Linked DNA regions of Mus musculus. Each later gene encodes a partner of the first gene's protein in a complex. Links are inferred from orthologs where the notes say so. Each region holds a gene or a part of one and is shown in the gene's direction. Other genes may lie near its edges.

Evidence for each region.
Region 2: the proteins of Ngfr (region 1) and Ripk2 are in contact, whole or in part, in an NMR structure (PDB 2N83), measured with the Homo sapiens proteins. The link is inferred for Mus musculus from reciprocal best matches to the Homo sapiens genes NGFR and RIPK2. Residues at the interface, in NP_002498.1 of Homo sapiens: Gly334, Leu335, Ser338, Leu339, Pro340, Lys343, Val347, Ser354, Ala355, Asp357, Arg360, His361, Gly364, Glu365, Tyr368, Pro370, Ile373, Asp374, Leu398, Asp399, Leu401, Leu402, Arg406, Arg407, Ile408, Gln409, Arg410, Ala411, Asp412, Val414; in NP_003812.1 of Homo sapiens: Gln437, Ser465, Arg466, Asp467, Leu468, Met470, Glu472, Asp495, Ile496, Gln497, Gly498, Glu499, Glu500, Lys503, Ile523, Leu524, Val526, Ser527, Arg528, Ser529, Pro530, Ser531, Leu532, Asn533, Leu534, Gln536.
Region 3: the proteins of Ngfr (region 1) and Arhgdia are in contact, whole or in part, in an NMR structure (PDB 8X8T), measured with the Homo sapiens proteins. The link is inferred for Mus musculus from reciprocal best matches to the Homo sapiens genes NGFR and ARHGDIA. Residues at the interface, in NP_002498.1 of Homo sapiens: Arg274, Trp275, Ser277, Cys278, Lys279, Gln280, Lys282, Gln283, Gly284, Ala285, Ser287, Arg288, Pro289, Val290, Asn291, Gln292, Thr293, Pro294, Pro295, Pro296, Glu299, Lys300, Leu301, Ile307, Ser308, Val309, Gln312, Ser313, Asp316, Gln317; in NP_001172006.1 of Homo sapiens: Ala8, Glu9, Leu11, Ala12, Gln13, Ile14, Ala15, Ala16, Glu17, Asn18, Glu19, Glu20, Asp21, Glu22, Val25, Pro30, Ala31, Gln32, Lys33, Ile35, Gln36, Glu37, Ile38, Gln39, Glu40, Leu41, Asp42, Lys43, Asp44, Asp45.
Region 4: the proteins of Ngfr (region 1) and Tradd are in contact, whole or in part, in an NMR structure (PDB 7CSQ), measured with the Homo sapiens proteins. The link is inferred for Mus musculus from reciprocal best matches to the Homo sapiens genes NGFR and TRADD. Residues at the interface, in NP_002498.1 of Homo sapiens: Glu345, Glu346, Glu348, Lys349, Leu350, Asn352, Gly353, Ser354, Ala355, Glu379, Ala380, Cys381, Arg384, Glu420; in NP_001310481.1 of Homo sapiens: Thr201, Phe202, Asn211, Ala275, Glu276, Arg278, Arg279, Thr281, Gln283, Arg284, Glu287.

The regions. Positions count from the first base shown.
Region 1 is NC_000077.6:95,574,188-95,577,743, reverse strand, and holds part of Ngfr (tumor necrosis factor receptor superfamily member 16 precursor), read left to right. Parts: intron 1-3,300; coding exon 3,301-3,553; intron 3,554-3,556. UniProt on the Homo sapiens protein: Low affinity receptor which can bind to NGF, BDNF, NTF3, and NTF4. Forms a heterodimeric receptor with SORCS2 that binds the precursor forms of NGF, BDNF and NTF3 with high affinity, and has much lower affinity for mature NGF and BDNF.
Region 2 is NC_000070.6:16,160,809-16,165,103, reverse strand, and holds the start of Ripk2 (receptor-interacting serine/threonine-protein kinase 2), read left to right. Parts: upstream 1-1,460; 5' UTR 1,461-1,707; coding exon 1,708-1,880; intron 1,881-4,295.
Region 3 is NC_000077.6:120,578,791-120,583,139, reverse strand, and holds the start of Arhgdia (rho GDP-dissociation inhibitor 1), read left to right. Parts: upstream 1-1,515; 5' UTR 1,516-1,618; intron 1,619-1,892; exon of another isoform or gene 1,893-2,150; intron 2,151-2,746; 5' UTR 2,747-2,768; coding exon 2,769-2,958; intron 2,959-3,089; coding exon 3,090-3,173; intron 3,174-3,395; coding exon 3,396-3,472; intron 3,473-3,560; coding exon 3,561-3,624; intron 3,625-3,709; coding exon 3,710-3,909; 3' UTR 3,910-4,349. UniProt on the Homo sapiens protein: Controls Rho proteins homeostasis. Regulates the GDP/GTP exchange reaction of the Rho proteins by inhibiting the dissociation of GDP from them, and the subsequent binding of GTP to them.
Region 4 is NC_000074.6:105,261,759-105,265,995, reverse strand, and holds the start of Tradd (tumor necrosis factor receptor type 1-associated DEATH domain protein), read left to right. Parts: upstream 1-1,401; 5' UTR 1,402-1,435; intron 1,436-4,237. UniProt on the Homo sapiens protein: Adapter molecule for TNFRSF1A/TNFR1 that specifically associates with the cytoplasmic domain of activated TNFRSF1A/TNFR1 mediating its interaction with FADD.

The DNA.
Region 1 (3,556 bases):
CTTACTGTTCACTGGAAGAAGTCATTCTAACTCCTCTCTCAGCGATTATATGGGTGACAAACAGCATCTGGAAGGCGCCATAGATGCCAGAGTCTGAATCAGGCTTCCTTCCAGCCTAGAGCAGGCTTTCTGCTCTGGAGTCAGGCTGGGGACTCACAGGAGTGAGGGGCCTTCAGCTATGAGGCCAGATGTGGGTGGTGATGATGGCTATAGCATCCCAAATCAAATTAGCCCCGAGTGACACCAGGGGATTACTCCCGTCTCTGGACCTAAGTGTTTTCTGGTAGCCGTAGGGTCACGATAAGGCTGTTGGGGTGAGTGACACATTCTCCTCGCGGTGTCTGGAGATGAGGTAGCATTGTGGCCATTTAATGAGACAGAGTTGGTTGAAAAAAAATGGCCAGATAATGAAGGAAGTGGTTCCAGGGAACAAAAGAGGTGTGGCAAGTGGGGGCATGGCAAGTACGATAATGTGGGCCATGCTTGGAGGGCTCTCCTCTACTGAGGGCTGTAGACAAGAGAAAGCTGTGGGCCTGCCTTATCCAGATAACTCACCTGAAAGAGATAGAGAGATCCTGGGACAGGAGGAGGCAGCTGAGAGCCAGGGTATAGGCACCACGGTCACTGGTAGTGTTCTTCTCCAAGGGGTCAACTGGTATTGGTTTGTTGCTTGTTTGTTTGTTTTCATTCTGTTCATCAGCGGGTGGCCTGCCCATGGATCTATTTGTCTTTGAATTTGAACCTCAGGTTGCCCTCACATTGAGCAGGCAAGAGCATCCCCTTCAGGGACGTCCCTAGTTTTCCCGGAGAGGGAATGGCCTTTGACACAGGTCCAATGAGAGGAGCATGGTACCCCAGCCCGTGGTGACCTGGAGAGAGAAGACAGCCGCAGCTTTGGAGATTCCCGATCCTGATGGAGGCAACACAGTTTCTGCCTTCCATTGGCCTCTTGTGGAATAGAAGCTACAGATGCCCTGTCCTTGGGCCGGGGAGGGGTCCTGACAACCAGCCAGGGCCTCCTCCATACCCAGACTTGAGCTTGCTCTAGTAGTAGAGCAGAGAAGCCTGGCAAGCTACACAGAGGCCCTAAACATGCTTGCAGTTCTTTGATGAATAGGTGGAGAGGGATGGGGCAGAGGCCCCAGGGTGGCTGTGGTGGAGATTTCCACGGGTCAAGACAGGCAAATGGCCTCAGAGGCTAAGCTGAGCGGGGAGAGAGCTTCGGCAGTCAGGCAGCAGGAAGCAGGAAGCTCAGTTCTGTGGGCAAGTCTAGATCAGCCGGTGGTGCACAAGGTCGGGGTTGTGATTAGAGGAGAGGGAGGACCTGGTTGGAAAAGGGGCAGGCTCCGTCTTGCAAGGAATCATTTCTTCCCAGACGCGATCCTTCTTTCTCAGTCATCTTGGCAGAAGGCACCCCCTGACCCCCCAGTAACATTTATCCTTATATTGTTCTTTCTGTTCCAACGTCTGAAGGGTTAAATGTTGGCCCTGAGGCCAAACATCCCTTTCAGGAAATGGAATTTGATTCTTGGGTTGGCAGCCCACTCTTGTCCAATGTTAAATACTCGCCCGCATATACATTTCAGGTGTCAACATGGTGACTCACCCAGCCTTGGGGCAGACGCCCGGCCTCCTTACCGCATTGAAGTTTAGGAGGGGTCACCTGCTCCCTCTTCTTCCTGATAGCTCCCATTCCGGAAATGGCTGTCAGGACCTGCCAAGTGTTTAGCGGGTTGGAACGTCAGAGGACAGGCCCACATCTGGATCTCGTCTCCAACCCTATCAGAGAGGCTGGGGGCGGGGGTGAGGGGAGGTGTCCTGGACACTCGACACTGCCTTTAGCCCTTCTCTGAGGCTCCTTCATTTCTGTATCGCTCACCCACCCACATCAACCTCGGGGGCAGGACTGTCAATCTAAACTGAGTCACATCTGCAACCTCTGGATTCAGGCTACACCTTCAACCTTCCCTGTTCCCCTAGCGGATCATAAGAAGGTCCTCTAGGGTCTAATGCCCAGACAGGGCTGTCTCTCCCACTTCCCACCCTCTCCTTCCAGCCCTGCCCGGTACTGGGATGGGGGTGGGGTGGGACTGGGCAGCAGATGGCAACCTTCCCCACACTGCCAGTCAAATGGATTCCAGACTCACATCTGGGGTCCTTACCCCTCAGAAGGTGCTGAAAATGGGGCCTTTGAAGCATCTCTGTCCCGAGCCAGGGAGACCCAGAGGACTAGTGGGCAGCTTTAACTCCAGCTTGGGTGGGCACACTGTAGACTGGGCGGGGCAGAGCTGGGTAGCAAAGTGTCCTCCCCTTAACCTTACAAGCATACCCTGTCTGCTTTCCCTCCCTGTTTTCCCTGCGTGGGAAGTGAGAATGGATAGGACAGGCTGCTTTGCCCAGACAAGTATCCCCCAGGCCACCATCCAGAGCCTACAACCCCTAGCCCTGCCTCTGGCTGGGTGGCAGAATGGAAAATCCCACCCACTAGTGCCAAGAGGGGCTGGAGCCTCTGCCAGGAAGGCTGGCAATGTCCAAATGGCATGAGCGGGCCTAGATGGGTGGCCAAGCACAGAATTGCTCCTTCTGAGGCAGGGTCTAGTTCGTAGGCCCTCCCTCCGCCAGCTGTCTGCTTCCTGCTAACGAGGGTGCCAGCTGTCTAACCCACTCTTCTCTAGATGCCAGGGCTAGGCTGTTTTGGGAGTGGGGGGTGTCAGGCGTTACAAGAAACATGCTGGCCACTGTTCAAGGACTGGCTGGGGGTGAAGTAAGCCAGTTATACATCTAGTGCCAGCCTAGGCCTGGAGCATCTGAGACAGGAAGGGGCTGAGTGCCACCTGCCGGGCAGCATCTCTGATCAGGCCTCTGATCAGCTCTAAGTGCCCTATCCTTCCTGAAGGCTGTGGTCACTAAGTCAGAGCAATTCCATTCCTCAAAGCAATTAAGTCATTGCTCCAGCTTAAAGATGCTCTACAGCATGCAGGCTTCTTGGTGTTCATGCGTGGCTGCTGGCAGACACTAGAATCCTGGTTCTGCAGCCTAAGCCAAAAAGTTGTTTAAAGACCATTTCTTTTCAGAAAGCCCATTCTCTAGATGGGGAAGTCGAGGCCCCATACTGATAGAAGTCTCCTGTCATACAGCTCTTGCTCTTCTTTTCTAAACTGCATGTGCACAGTCCCAGCTTCCACCCCCATGCGTAACAGCCTGGCCCTGTGTGCCTGGAGGCTCATGATGAAGCCCTGGAAAGCTGGAGCTAAGGGGAAGGCCTGGGTAGGTCCTAACTCCTGTGGCCCTGTTCCTCAGAGATCCCTGGCCGATGGATCACAAGGTCTACGCCCCCGGAGGGCTCTGACGTCACAACACCCAGCACCCAGGAGCCGGAGGCACCTCCAGAGCGAGACCTCATAGCCAGCACAGTGGCCGATACGGTGACCACTGTGATGGGCAGCTCCCAGCCTGTAGTGACCCGAGGCACCGCTGACAACCTCATTCCTGTCTATTGCTCCATCTTGGCTGCTGTGGTTGTGGGCCTTGTGGCCTATATTGCTTTCAAGAGGTA
Region 2 (4,295 bases), on another chromosome or scaffold:
TACAAAATCCCTATATGTGTGTATATATACATACATACATACAGCATGTATACGTATATATATTCTTAGTTGAGATATATACACATTATATTGTAAGTACATATTTTTATATTTTTGTATTTTGTTTATGTGTATGTGTGTTGCCTGCAGAAGCCAGAAGTGTTGGTCAGATTCCCTGGAGCTGGAGAGCAGGCAGCTGTGAGCTACTAGATTCGAGTACTGATAACAAACCTCAGATCCTCTGGAAGAACAAGCCCTCTTAACGGCTTACCCATGACTCCAGCCCAAGAAAACATAATCTTAGAATGTAGACTTGTAAAAAACTATTAAGAACTAGAGTATAGGGAAGGAAATGTCGGTGTTATATATATTACACTAATAATATAAGGGACAATTACAGATTGTAGTATCCTGGTGCGTGTAGGATCGTGGAACTATATCGCTCACAAATATGAGATATTTGCGCCAAACATCGTACTGAACAGTTATCTAAGTAGAAAGGTGTTTACAGTAAAAAGATGAAATAGTGCTGGATTTTGGTTGTTTGGTTTTGTTTGTTTTTGCCTTTGTTTTTCTTTTTGGATGGAAGACTTCCCAAACACAAGAAATGGTTTTATATTTCTATTTGTGAGTAGGCTTTGAGGAATAAAAGAAGAAACCGTTTCCTGGTAAGGGAGCAAGTCATATAAGCTAAACACCTCAATTTGTCACACTGACAGCGCTAGCCTCTCTACCTCACTTCTCACAAGTGGCAGCCACTGAGTAAAGACTGGAGTGGAAGCAACCAGATGGTTTACAGCTCAGGAAGTGGGGCACCAGGCTCCCCAGCAGTAGTCACCCCACACCCTATCACGTCCAGGGTTTGGAGTCTAAGGAAGACACTCGGGCCAAAGGAAAATCCAGCCGACCCACCTGACACCAGACTGGAGAACTCCGGAGGGATTTTCCCCGGAGGAAATCTTTTCCAAGCCTCAGCGATGTCCACCCGGCTTGTGGGGGGAGGGAGGCCTCTGAGACACGCCCATGATCTGCAGAGGGAGGAGCCGGCAGAGGGAGGAGCCCGCAGAGAGGGGAGCTTGCAGAGGGAGGAGCCGGCAGAGGGAGGAGCCCGCAAAGATGGGAGATTACAGAGGGAGGGGCCGGCGGAAGGAGGAGCCAGAGGACAGAAGAGCGGGCGGAGGAGGAGCCGGCGGAGGGAGGAGCTGGGGGAGGGCGGAGCCGACGGAGGGAGGAGCTGGCAGAAGGAGGAGCCGGCGGAGGGCGGAGCCGGCGGAGGGAGGAGCTGGCAGAGGGAGGAGCCGGCGGAGGGAGGAGCTGGCAGAGGGAGGAGCTCACAGAGAGAGGAGATTGCAGAGGGAGGAGCCGGCAGAGGGAGGAGACCGCGGAGGGAGGAGCCGGCGGAGGGAGGAGCCGGCGGAGGGAGGAGCCGGCGGAGGGAGGAGCCGGCGGAGGGAGAAGCCAGGGGTAGGAGGCAGGGGCTGAGGAGTTGGTGAAGGTAGGAGCCCGCCCAGGGAGGGCCGGCGGAGGGAGGAGCCCGCCGAGTCCAGGAGGAGGGAGGAGGACGGTCCACCCCGGCGCGGCCGCAGACCCGACGGGCTCCCTGGCACAGCTGACCGGGCCGGAACTGCAGCGGCCACGCGGGAATGGGCCGCCCCGGGACCTAGCGCCGCGGCCAGGGTCGGGCGGAGCCGCCGCGCAGCCGGAGCCATGAACGGGGACGCCATCTGCAGCGCGCTACCCCCCATCCCGTACCACAAGCTCGCCGACCTGCACTACCTCAGCCGGGGCGCCTCTGGCACGGTCTCGTCGGCACGACACGCAGACTGGCGCGTGCGGGTGGCAGTGAAGCACCTACACATCCACACGCCGCTGCTCGACAGGTAGGGCGCCGGCGCGGGGCCCCACACAGACGCGGGCTGGGTGGTCCACAGACCGGCCGCACTATGGCGATGCGCCGGCTCCGCCGCGGCGAGTCCTTAAGTCCTTGGGCTAACCTGATCCAAGGGAGAAACCATCCTGGACGTGCGTCAGACTTTGCAACTCGCCCTGCCTCTCCTCCCACCCGAGGTGTTCCCACTCTCCAAAAACCTGCAATCACGGCCACCTCTAAAACCCTGTTTATTGAACCCGACGTGTGTTGGTACAGTGCTTGTGGGCTTTGCTTTGTTTTAGCTAGCTGTTAGCGGTAAGAGCTGTGGAACTCTAAAAACTGCTCTTGGAAATGAAGTACGCAGTGACTGCAAAATACACACCGGAGTTTGAGCATTTAGCACTAAAAAGAAAAATAATAATACTATACCGGTGTTTTTATATTGATTAAACGTCAAAATATTTTTCTAGGGTTTTATGTGTGTTTCACTCCTGCTCCTGAGCCTGCATATTATGGCTTGGTTTGGTTTGATTTGGTTGGTTTTGTTTTCTTTGTGGTTTATTACGTGCCCTCATGAAGTTCAGTTATCAAATTCTACATTACCAGTTGTTATTCGAGCTCTTGCCTTGGAAGTCCCCAAAGGAAGTGTGCAATGTTTTTTGTAACAGTAAAATGAATCAAAAGCTATTAAATGGTCAAAATTTGTGAAGAATAAAAGTTTTGACCATCCCTTGCCCTGGTATTATTTGTGTCCAGCTCCCACATATTCAGAAGAAAGAAAAAAAAAAAGCGTTGGTTTCTGTTTCTAGGAAAACATTACAACTAAATACCATAGATCTGTGGCTGTATGTGTTAGTCAATGGATCTAGTCAGAACTCTTGTGTGTTTCACTTCCATCAGAAATTGAACTAGACCTTCATTCAGTTCTTAGTGCACTTGCTAACCTTGGTGGCTACAGGCCTCTTCTCCTGCTGGATCTAGTGTGAAAATACAGAGATCATAGCGGCCCTATTGGTCAGAGGCTGTTAACCCTGGGTATCAGGTCAGATACAGCATCAGATAACTAACTCTCTTGCTTCAGCCCTGGTAGAATGTTGGACTTTCATCTGCCTGGAGGCGCCCTCCCTCCCTCCAAGGGCTAGATCACAGTGTATGTGGAGCCAGTGCTGTGTGTGTGTGTGTGTGTGTGTGTGTGTGTGTGTGTGTGTGTTCACGTGTTCGAGCACGTGCGCCTAAGTAGTCAACTTTAAAGGGAGGTTGGTTAGTACCAAGCAAACGAATGGTCTATGGAAATGTAGCACTAATAGACCACTAGGTAGACTAAAGCTAGTTGCTTTCTCACTTTTGATTCTGCTTTTCAAAGCTTCGTTTGTGCCATTTGTAGGCCAAGGGAAAAAGATGGACAGGATGGTATTGCTTTCCCATATTCACCAACCACTTATGGTATAATTTCCTTGCATTGGATAGGGCATTGTCTTTATAAAACCAGCACAATCCCCTACCTTACTGCATTGCATTCTTTTATCTTGCTGTCTAAGATCTTACCATGAGCACAGGCCTAGGCTTATGCAACTGACTCTGAGGGTGTCTTACTTCCTCACCTGTTAAATATGAATAATAAACACTGTATGTATATTTGTTGTGCTCTGGTGTGGATAATGTACCCATTGTTCTTTAAGATTACCTGAAAAGAAAATAAGTCTAGGTGACGTTGCATATTATTTTAATAATTAGTGAGTCACTCTCCATTGCCAGTGAGTGGGACTTCCATAGCAGTCTTCCAGCCTTAATGGACTGATGACTCTGATTGGTTGTTCAAGTACCCTAGAGATGGAGAGCTGTTTCCTATTGACATTTTGAGTTAGGCCATTTTCATGATACAATTATTGAAGCTGTATTTTGCATTTTAAGTTTCTAAAAATCTTTTGCTTTTGTTTTCCCCCTCAATCTTGTTGAATTCTAACCTCACAAACTATCTGATTTGCTTTTCTCATCAAACAATAGAATAGAAAAGCACAGATGTTAGAGTACCAGGGCTACAATTTAAATCTGACTTAAACCCTGTCACTTTGTATTGTTGTCACCAAAGGATCATTCATTTTTTTCTGACTGTAGATGCTCCAATATGTAAACCAGAGAGAATGAAACAAGCTTTAGAGAGTTGATTCAAGGGTTGGACTGTATATAAAATGGCTGGCAGGGAGGAGGAATACATCATACCTTTCTATGTTTGTATGTACATGCATGTGTTTGTATTAGCATACACACATAGGAGATCCATGTGCTGCTGACCCACATGCATGATGGGTAGGCCAGAGGTCAACTTCAGGTATTGTTCCTCAGGACCATTAAGAGAGAGAGAGAGAGAGAGAGAGAGAGAGAGAGAGAGAGAGAGAGAGAGAGAGAGAGGAGAAGAGAGTATCTT
Region 3 (4,349 bases), about 25 Mb from region 1:
CTGACTGGACTTTTAATGATCTTTGTGATTTTTTTCAAATGTGAATCACTGTATGTATGTAGCTAGACCGTATAAAAAATCTTTGGGCATGGGCAGGCTAAAAAGATGGCTCAGCAGTTCATAGAGCACTGGCTCCTCTTTGAGAGAGATCTTGGGTTTGATTCCCAGTACAGTACAGAACCCACTACTGTTCTAACTCCAGTTCCAGAGGATGCAATGCCCTCTTCTGACCTTTATGGGTACTGCACACAAGTGGTTCAGAGACTACTTCAAAATATTGATATGCATAAACATAAAAACGCAGCTTTGGAAGATTTGTACTTTGAGCGTCAAACCAGGGAATTGTGGGTGGCACAGAGCTCAATAAACCAGGCTCATCCAGTTGGAGGACCATGAGCCTCCTGAAAAGCCAGCTTGACACACTTCGTTGGGCACACCTGTGTGTAGGTGGAAGGCCAGCCAAATTCATCATACAGTAAGAGTGGGGATAGTCACGTGGCTTTTTGTTTTAGAATAGTTCTGCATAGAAGAGCAGCTACCTGGATGTAGGGTAATGATATTGCAAATCCATCTTCCTTAGAGATAAAAATAAATGAGCTTGAAAGAACACTTGGTTTGCTTCAGATTGATGTATAGCCAGAGGGTATGCGTGCTTGTGTAAAATAACTGGGCCACAACTGAAGATGGAGAGTGGAGGCCATTGGATTCCTCATCTTTTAAGTTTGATGACTCTCCGGAGCCAACAGCTGTTTCCTGGATACCACAGGGGCAGGTGTGGCCAACAGAGCAGGCCAGAAGCGATGGCTTTTGTGGGATTAAGCTATAGAAGTCCCCGTAGTGCCCCTTAAATTCCTGCCTCCCCTCAGTCTGAGGCTACACTCAGAAGAAGCCAACATGGAGTGCCCTCACGGAGTAGCAGGAACTGAGACTCCTCAGGAGGAACTGGAGTGGCTGGCACAAGCACACGACCGGGAACCCCCCCAGCCAGGCCCTCCACTAAGGAGGCTCCATCCTCAGCGTCGTGAAACACGCCTGGCGGTGATGGTGCACGCCTTCAATCTCAGCATCCTGGAGGCAGAGGCGGGCGCGTCTCAGGGATGAGGTTCAAGATAGGCAGGCAGCCCGTTCCAAGGAAAACCGCTCCTCACAGCAAAACCATACAACTTCTAACATACGGGGGCTCGGGGGGCACGCAGTCCCCAGAGCAATGCGCCAGGCAGCACAGCTACAGGGCACTGCGGTCGGTGAGGACTGTGGTTCTGTTGACTCTGAGGACAATGGGACAAGGGCCAGGCACGGCAATCAGGGAACCCTGGGAGCCACAGAATGGCCGCGCGACGCTGCTCTGGAAGAGCCGGCTCTCGTGTCCCACAAACCCTCGCACCCGGCATTCGGCAGAAGGCGCGAGGGCGCCGGCCCACGCGGGACGCGCCCACGAGGCCCGCAGCAAAATGGCGACGGCGCCGACCCGCGCCCCCTGGCGGCGCATGCGCAAGGCGACCCCGCCCGCGAGAGCGGAAGTCTTGTGACCCCGGAAGTGACCGTCCGAGCGGCGGGCGGCGGACGACGTTCGTCATTTGGTGCGGGAGGGAGCGCGAGAGCGGCGGTCGAGCCTCCGGTGAGTGGGCGCGTGGCGCAGCGCGGTGCAGTGCGGGAGGGGAGTGGGTTGGCTTTGTGCGGCGTCGCGGGCGACTGCGGCGCTCGCGGGCGGGGCGCGGTCACCCGGGCGGGCGGGCGGGGCGGGCCAGGGCGGCAGCGCAGGTCCTGCCGGAGGGGCCGCGGCCCCCCGGGCCTGCGCGCCTGCTACCAGGGGACCCCCTTCCTCGGCCTCGCGGGCGGGGTCCGGCGCGGGGCCTGGCCCGGGGCTCCCGCCGCGCGGCCCCGCCCCGCTCGGATTGCGGGCTCTACGGAAGTGCGGGCCGCGCCCTGATGCTGTCGCCGGCGGCCACGCTTGGCGTCGGGTGGGGTTGTCTGTAGCCTCCGGGTTTCGGACCGCCGCTTTATGTGTTTCCTTGGCGGACACCTCTCAGAGGGACAACGGCCGGGCTCTTCCCGGGACCGCTGCGCATTGCCTGTAGGCATCACAGTGGGTTTCCGAGAGACGTTTGGGAATCTGCGGAACTGAAAGGCATCTAGGCGCTTCCGTCCTGGTTGGTTCCTCACCGCCACTAAAGGTTTAGGGTCAGGGCCCAGAAACAGGCTCCTGAGATTTATTTGCAAGCGGTGCACTAGCTCCCAAGTTGCATACGCAGACCCTCACTAGAGAGGACAGACCTGCGTATTTAGGATCCCCTTTGGGCTCTTGGGATTTAAGCGGTCATCACATAGTTGAGCTTAGGACAGTATTCCATTGGAAGGGACGAACAAACAGACCCTTGTCCTGCACGTGGCTAACATACAGAGCATCTCCCTGTCGGAGAACTTACCTCCATGACCCAACCCAGTAAGATGAGAGCCTGGGCAGCTAGGGACAGCAACAGGACCCCAGGGATTTAGTGTTGCGTCTGCCAGTTCAGTTCGGTCTGGAGGCTTATTCTTAGTGGGGAGGAAAGGTGTTTTGCTTCTCTGAGGAACAGGCTGTGGTCCCATTTCGTTGCTTGGGGTTCTAGTCCTCTCAAATGGGCCTCTGCGTAGGGCAGTGGCAGCATCCTCTCAAAGTTCCAGTCAGGTGTCCTGCAGGTGTCAGGGTCTGCCTAGGGTGGAATGCCTCCAGGCTGTCACAGTCCTGCTCATGCCCCGCCCACAGGTGTCCCAAGCTAGAGGTAAGCATGGCAGAACAGGAACCCACTGCTGAGCAGCTTGCGCAGATAGCTGCAGAGAATGAGGAAGATGAGCACTCTGTGAACTACAAGCCTCCAGCCCAGAAGAGCATCCAGGAGATCCAGGAACTGGACAAGGACGATGAAAGCCTCCGAAAGTACAAGGAGGCCCTGCTGGGCCGAGTAGCTGTCTCTGCAGGTAGGTGGCTTGGAGGAAGGATGTCATCTAAACCTGTGCCCAGTCTCTTTCCAGACCACTCTTCCAAGGAGTGAGTTTAAAAAGAAAAATCTTAAGGGATGGGACTCTGACTCTTAACTCTCACTCTGCAGACCCCAACGTCCCCAATGTCATTGTGACTCGACTGACCTTGGTATGCAGCACTGCCCCAGGCCCTCTGGAACTGGACCTGACAGGTGAGTGGGTATTAGAATCCCTGGGTGGGGCCAGCTGGCATCTTGCCTCTACCCCTAAAAATAATTTTCTGCACTGATGCCCTCTGGTGGAGAAGAGGGGAAGTGCAGCTAGGGGCTTGCCGAAGCTCTGCTTTGTGTCAGGGAAGGGGCTGGGGAGAGTGAATGTAGCAGGGTGGAGAGCCCTTCAAGCAAGCAGTCAGCGGAGACTCCTCCTCAATACAGGTGATCTGGAGAGCTTCAAGAAACAGTCGTTTGTCTTGAAGGAAGGTGTGGAGTACCGGATAAAAATCTCTTTCCGGGTAAGGTGGGGGCTTTGAGAGGCCTGGAAACAAGGGGCAGAGGGGCAAGCCTGGGAAGGCAGCTGACCCTGGCTCTGTGTCCCCACAGGTGAACAGAGAGATCGTGTCCGGCATGAAGTACATCCAACACACATACAGGAAAGGGGTCAAAAGTGAGTGGGCGGGCCATAGAGTGGGGAGCCATTGGGCCTGGGAGGGGCGTGCAGCACCAGTAATCCTGCCTCTCCTGTCCCTCAGTTGACAAGACTGACTACATGGTCGGGAGCTATGGGCCGAGGGCCGAGGAGTATGAGTTCCTGACACCCATGGAGGAGGCTCCCAAAGGCATGCTTGCTCGGGGCAGTTACAACATCAAGTCGCGCTTCACAGATGACGACAAGACTGACCACCTGTCCTGGGAGTGGAATCTCACCATCAAAAAGGAGTGGAAGGACTGAGCTCCAGCTGGGAGACGGGCAGGGCGACGGACAGACAGAAGGACCGACATGCCCCACCCTAACCCCCTACCTACCCCAAACCAAAGTGCTGACAGGACCTCCCTCACCCGTCATTCCTCCCTAGTCCACTCAGGCAGTCAGCTCTCCTGTCTGCCCCTCCTCCACCTCCTGCCCGCAGGCCCCTGTGGTCTCCAGTGTCACATTGCTGCTTCTGCCTGTGCAGTGGGGGAGGGGTTCCAGCCCAGGCCTCCAATCTGCTGTGTCCCTCCAGGTTCCCTCTGTCTTCCCTTCCTCAGGCCCTGGCTTCTAGAATGGAACAGAACACTGTCAGGGTTGTCCAGCCCACCTTGTCTCTGTCGCAGCATGGGGAAGGGCTGGGCTATCTGTCCTCTAGTCCCACCACTCCCTGGCCAGGTCATCCATCACTGTCAGTCACTGTC
Region 4 (4,237 bases), on another chromosome or scaffold:
AAATTTTTTTTTAAACAGAAGTCTCTGCTCAGAATAGTAAATCTCCCTAAAGGCTTAAAGGTATAGTTCCAGTGGTTGTGCCTACACACACACACATACATACACACACGCACACACACACACACACACACTTTCCTATCTACCCTCTCTTTTTTTTCTCTTTTCTCATCTCTGCTGTGTGGCCCTGGCTGGTATTGAACTTGAGAATACTCCTGCCTCAGTGGTTTGGTTTTTCTTTCTTTTTTAAAAAATAGGGTCTCACTGTCTAGCCTTGGCTGGCCTGGAACTCCCTATGTAGACCAGGCTGGCCTTGAACTCACAGAGATCCTCCTGCCTCTGCCTGGGAAAGCTATGACTAAAGGTGTGTGTCACCAAGCCTGGCCCTCACTGGCTCTTCAAACTACTTTCTCGTGTGTTGAACAAATGAGAAATAGGTTTCAAGTTGAGGAATCCTGTCCACTAGAAACTGACTGTTGGGGCTAATCAGGCACCAGTCTTAGAGAATATTTTTTGTTTGTTTCTTTTTGTCTGAAATCACAGGCCAATCAGGAAGTGATGGGCGTCCCAGAAGGGGAGTCACCTTTACACTGCCTCCACCCCCTAGTAACGGACTGACTTCCTGCATGCTTTCTGTGACAGACCTGTGGTAAAAAGCTTGTGGCTCTGTCTGGGGCCGGACCGCTCTGGCACCCTTGAGGAGCTGTTGTTCAAGTTAGGACCCTGACCCTCGCGGAGCCTTGGTTCCTGCTAGCTAATAAAGACTCGGGTGGAACCCTGCAGACACACCCCAGAGCTTGGCTTTTACGAGAGGGGTGGGATCGGAATCTGCGTTTTCTCTGAAGCTGCCAGTTTTGCTTCAAAGTGCTGTAAGGTTTTTGTAAAGGTTCACACTTGCCGTTTCATTTCCCCATGTCTTCCAGGTGTATGGTCTCTCGTGGAATTTACCTCAAGTATACACTAGAGTTCCCGGATACTCCAAGCTAGGCTTGTCCTGGAACCACAGCACCCCATTTTCTGTGTTAAAGACTAGCAGAGATTAGATCATCAAACCAGATTTCCTAGGGGGCGCCAGAAAAAATTCTCATCTCCAGGAGATGCCCTCTGATTGAACCCCAGGAACTAACTTAAATTTGGCGGCTCTCACTCTGAAGCCCTTTCGGCTTCAAAACCCCCAAACTGCTATGTCCAGTGGGCAGTTCGTCCTGCCATCTAAACTTGGGTGTCCGTTATCTTACCTGCTCAGCGGACTAGGTGGGCTTTACCCGGAGACAGGGGACTGGCCACGGAGGACAGCTAGGGCAGGAAGGAGAGGCCCTGGGCGGAGAAGGCGGGACGCGCGGGCGGACCCGGCGACTCTGCTAGGGCACCGCCCCTGCGTCTCCGCGCACACCCGGAAGCCGCGCGCAGCAGAGCCAGGCGAGTGTGCGGCGGCCAGGTTAGTGCGGAGGGTGGGTGGGCTCCCTCGGTGCAGCCCCAGCAAAGCGAGAGATCTGGCTTCCCGAGGGCGAGCACCGCGCGGTGGTGACACGCGATTGCTGGCCAGTTAGTGGCAGCGGCCGGTCGGACTGTTTTGGTGGGAGGTACGAGGGACTTCGGACCTCCACCTTCTCTGGTTTTTTGTCCCAACTAAGGGTTTCTGGTGGGTGTCAGGGCCCTGCGGAGGAGGGGATATGGCTGCAGGGCTGGCCGGGAACGGTTCTGAGAACCCTCTTCCTGTCTGAGCCCAGTCGTGCGCGAACCCCCAGTTTGAAGGTGGGGTAGTGGGCAGACTGGGAACCTTCCTAGGCCAGGTCGCTTACTGCGCACCCGAGCAGGGGGCGTGTTCTGATGGTCTGGGAATCTCAAACTTTCTTTGAGTTGGGAGCCAAGCCCTTCCACCTAGCCAGAAGTGGGGCTACCTGGGGACTGTTATTTGTTAATGAGACCGGACATCTGGGTAGAGTCATTTGTTCTGGAACCCAGCGTAGAAGCCTCCTGGTGGAAGGAGGCCTGAGAAGGATTCTTTTTTCATTTTGGTTTTCCGAGACGGGGTTTCTCTGTGTACCCCTGGCTGTCCTGGAACGCACTCTGTAGTGCCAGGCTGGCCTCGAACTCACAGAGATCTGCCTGTCTCTGCTTCCTGAGTGCTGGGATTAAAGGGGTGCACCACCACCACTCGGTTTGGAAACGAATTTTTTTTTTTAAAAGACACACACACACACACACACACACACACACACACACACACACACACACACACGAGATTCAGATGCACCAGAAGAGGGCATCGGTTCCCATTACAAATGGTCGTGAGCCATCATGTGGATGCTGAGAATTCAGGACCTCTGAAGAGCAGTCAGTGCTCTTATCTGCTGAGGGAAGGATTCCTAAGGGGACAGTGAGAAACCAGTTCCCTCCATCTTGTCTGTTCTATTAACCTCACTTCTCCAACTCCGCGAACTCCAAGGCGGCTATTTCCCCTATTTGCCCAGTACTAGTGAATTTACATATCGATTACTCTGCCATCTCCAGCTCTACCGCACTTGTGCTGACAGGCCTGGTGGATAGTACCCCGACACACACCAGTACAGTTCCAAATCTTCTCCTACCCCTTGGGATGGGATCACATCCATGGGATAGAAGGGTAGGAAAGTGAACTAGATGTTTCATGAATCACGAGCTACTTCTTAGACGTCCTTGCTTGTTTTATACCTCGGTAGCTGAAGAGTTACATCGTGATGTTTTTGCCTTACTTTTTACTAAAGACATTTATGGGCTGGGGTGGGGCTCAGTGGCTGAGAACTACCGTACACCTGGCTCAGGGTTCAATCCCAAGTACGGAAGTCACTGGAGCCCTGCCCTGTAGAACTTCCTGGTGTTCTTGCTCTTGGTTCCTGAGGGCTGAGGTTACAGATAGGATGCCATCACCTCAAGTTCTCTCCTTTTCTTTTTTGGCTTTTTGAGCCAGGATCTTACTCTGTAGACCAGGCTGCCCCCTCAAACTCAGAGATTTGACTGCCTCTGCCTCCCGAATACTGGGATTAAAGGAATATTTCATTTACAATCCACCTCCTCTGCTTTTTTTTTTTTTCCTTTTTGAGACAGGGTTTGTCTGTGTAGCCCTGGCTGTCCTGGAACTCACTCTGTAGACCAGGCTAGCCTCAAACTCAGAAACCCACCTTCCTCTGCCTCCCAAGTGCTGGGATTAAAGAAGGTGTGTGCCACCACCGCCCAGCGACTCTTTCTTTCTTTCTTTCTTTCTTTCTTTCTTTCTTTCTTTCTTTCTTTCCTTCCTTCCTTCCTTCCTTCCTTCCTTCCTTTCTCTCTCTCTCTCTCTCTCTCTCTCTCTCTCTCTCTCTCTCTCTCTCTTTCTTTCTTTCATTCTTGTTATTTGAGACAGGGTTTCTCTGTGTAGCTTTGGCTGTCCTGGAACTCACTCTGTAGACCAGGCTGGCCTCGAACTTAGAAATCCACCTGCCTCTGCCTCCCGAATAAGAAACATGTCTCTTATATATAAAGTAGGAGATATTGCTTAATACAAAGAAAATTAAAACCATCCCAACCTGCCCAGAGATAGACAATAATTTTCAGACTGTTTTAGTAAATATATGTATATTAGTATTAAATTTTCTGATGGAAGAGGAGTTTCAAAAATCTATGTTCCTTAGCTGGGCAGTGTTGATGCACGCCTTTAATCCCAGCACTTGGGAGAAAGAGGCAGTGGATCTCTTGAGTCTGAGGATAGCCTGGTCTACAGAATGAGATCCAGGGCAGCCAGGGGTACCTTGTCTCAGAAAACAAACACCCCAACAAACCAACCAACCAAAAACATACAAAAACCCCGTGTCCCCATGCTTAGACCTAGATAGGGCCATGGACAGTTCATCATTTCCCTCCACCAGGTCTATGCTATGCCCTGCCCAGGTGCTTTCTTCTTAACCTTGACTCTCTATTAGAGGTTTGGAAGCAAGATTTTAACAGGAGATGGATGGAAGTGATCCTGGCGTTGAGGGGCCCTCATGTCTCATGTGGAAAGTTAGGGAATTTGTTTAGGAATAGCCAAAGAGAACACGGGCCCAATCACAAAGCAGGATGACTTAGCGCGCATAACTGAGCAGTCAAGGATGGTCCGAGATAGCTGGATCCGTGAGTGCATGTCCTGTCCTCAGGCGGGCGTGGCAGCACTTGCAGATAGACCGCTGTGAGTCAGAGGCCAGCTTCCTGTAAAGGGAATCCAGACCAGTCAGGGCCTAGTACA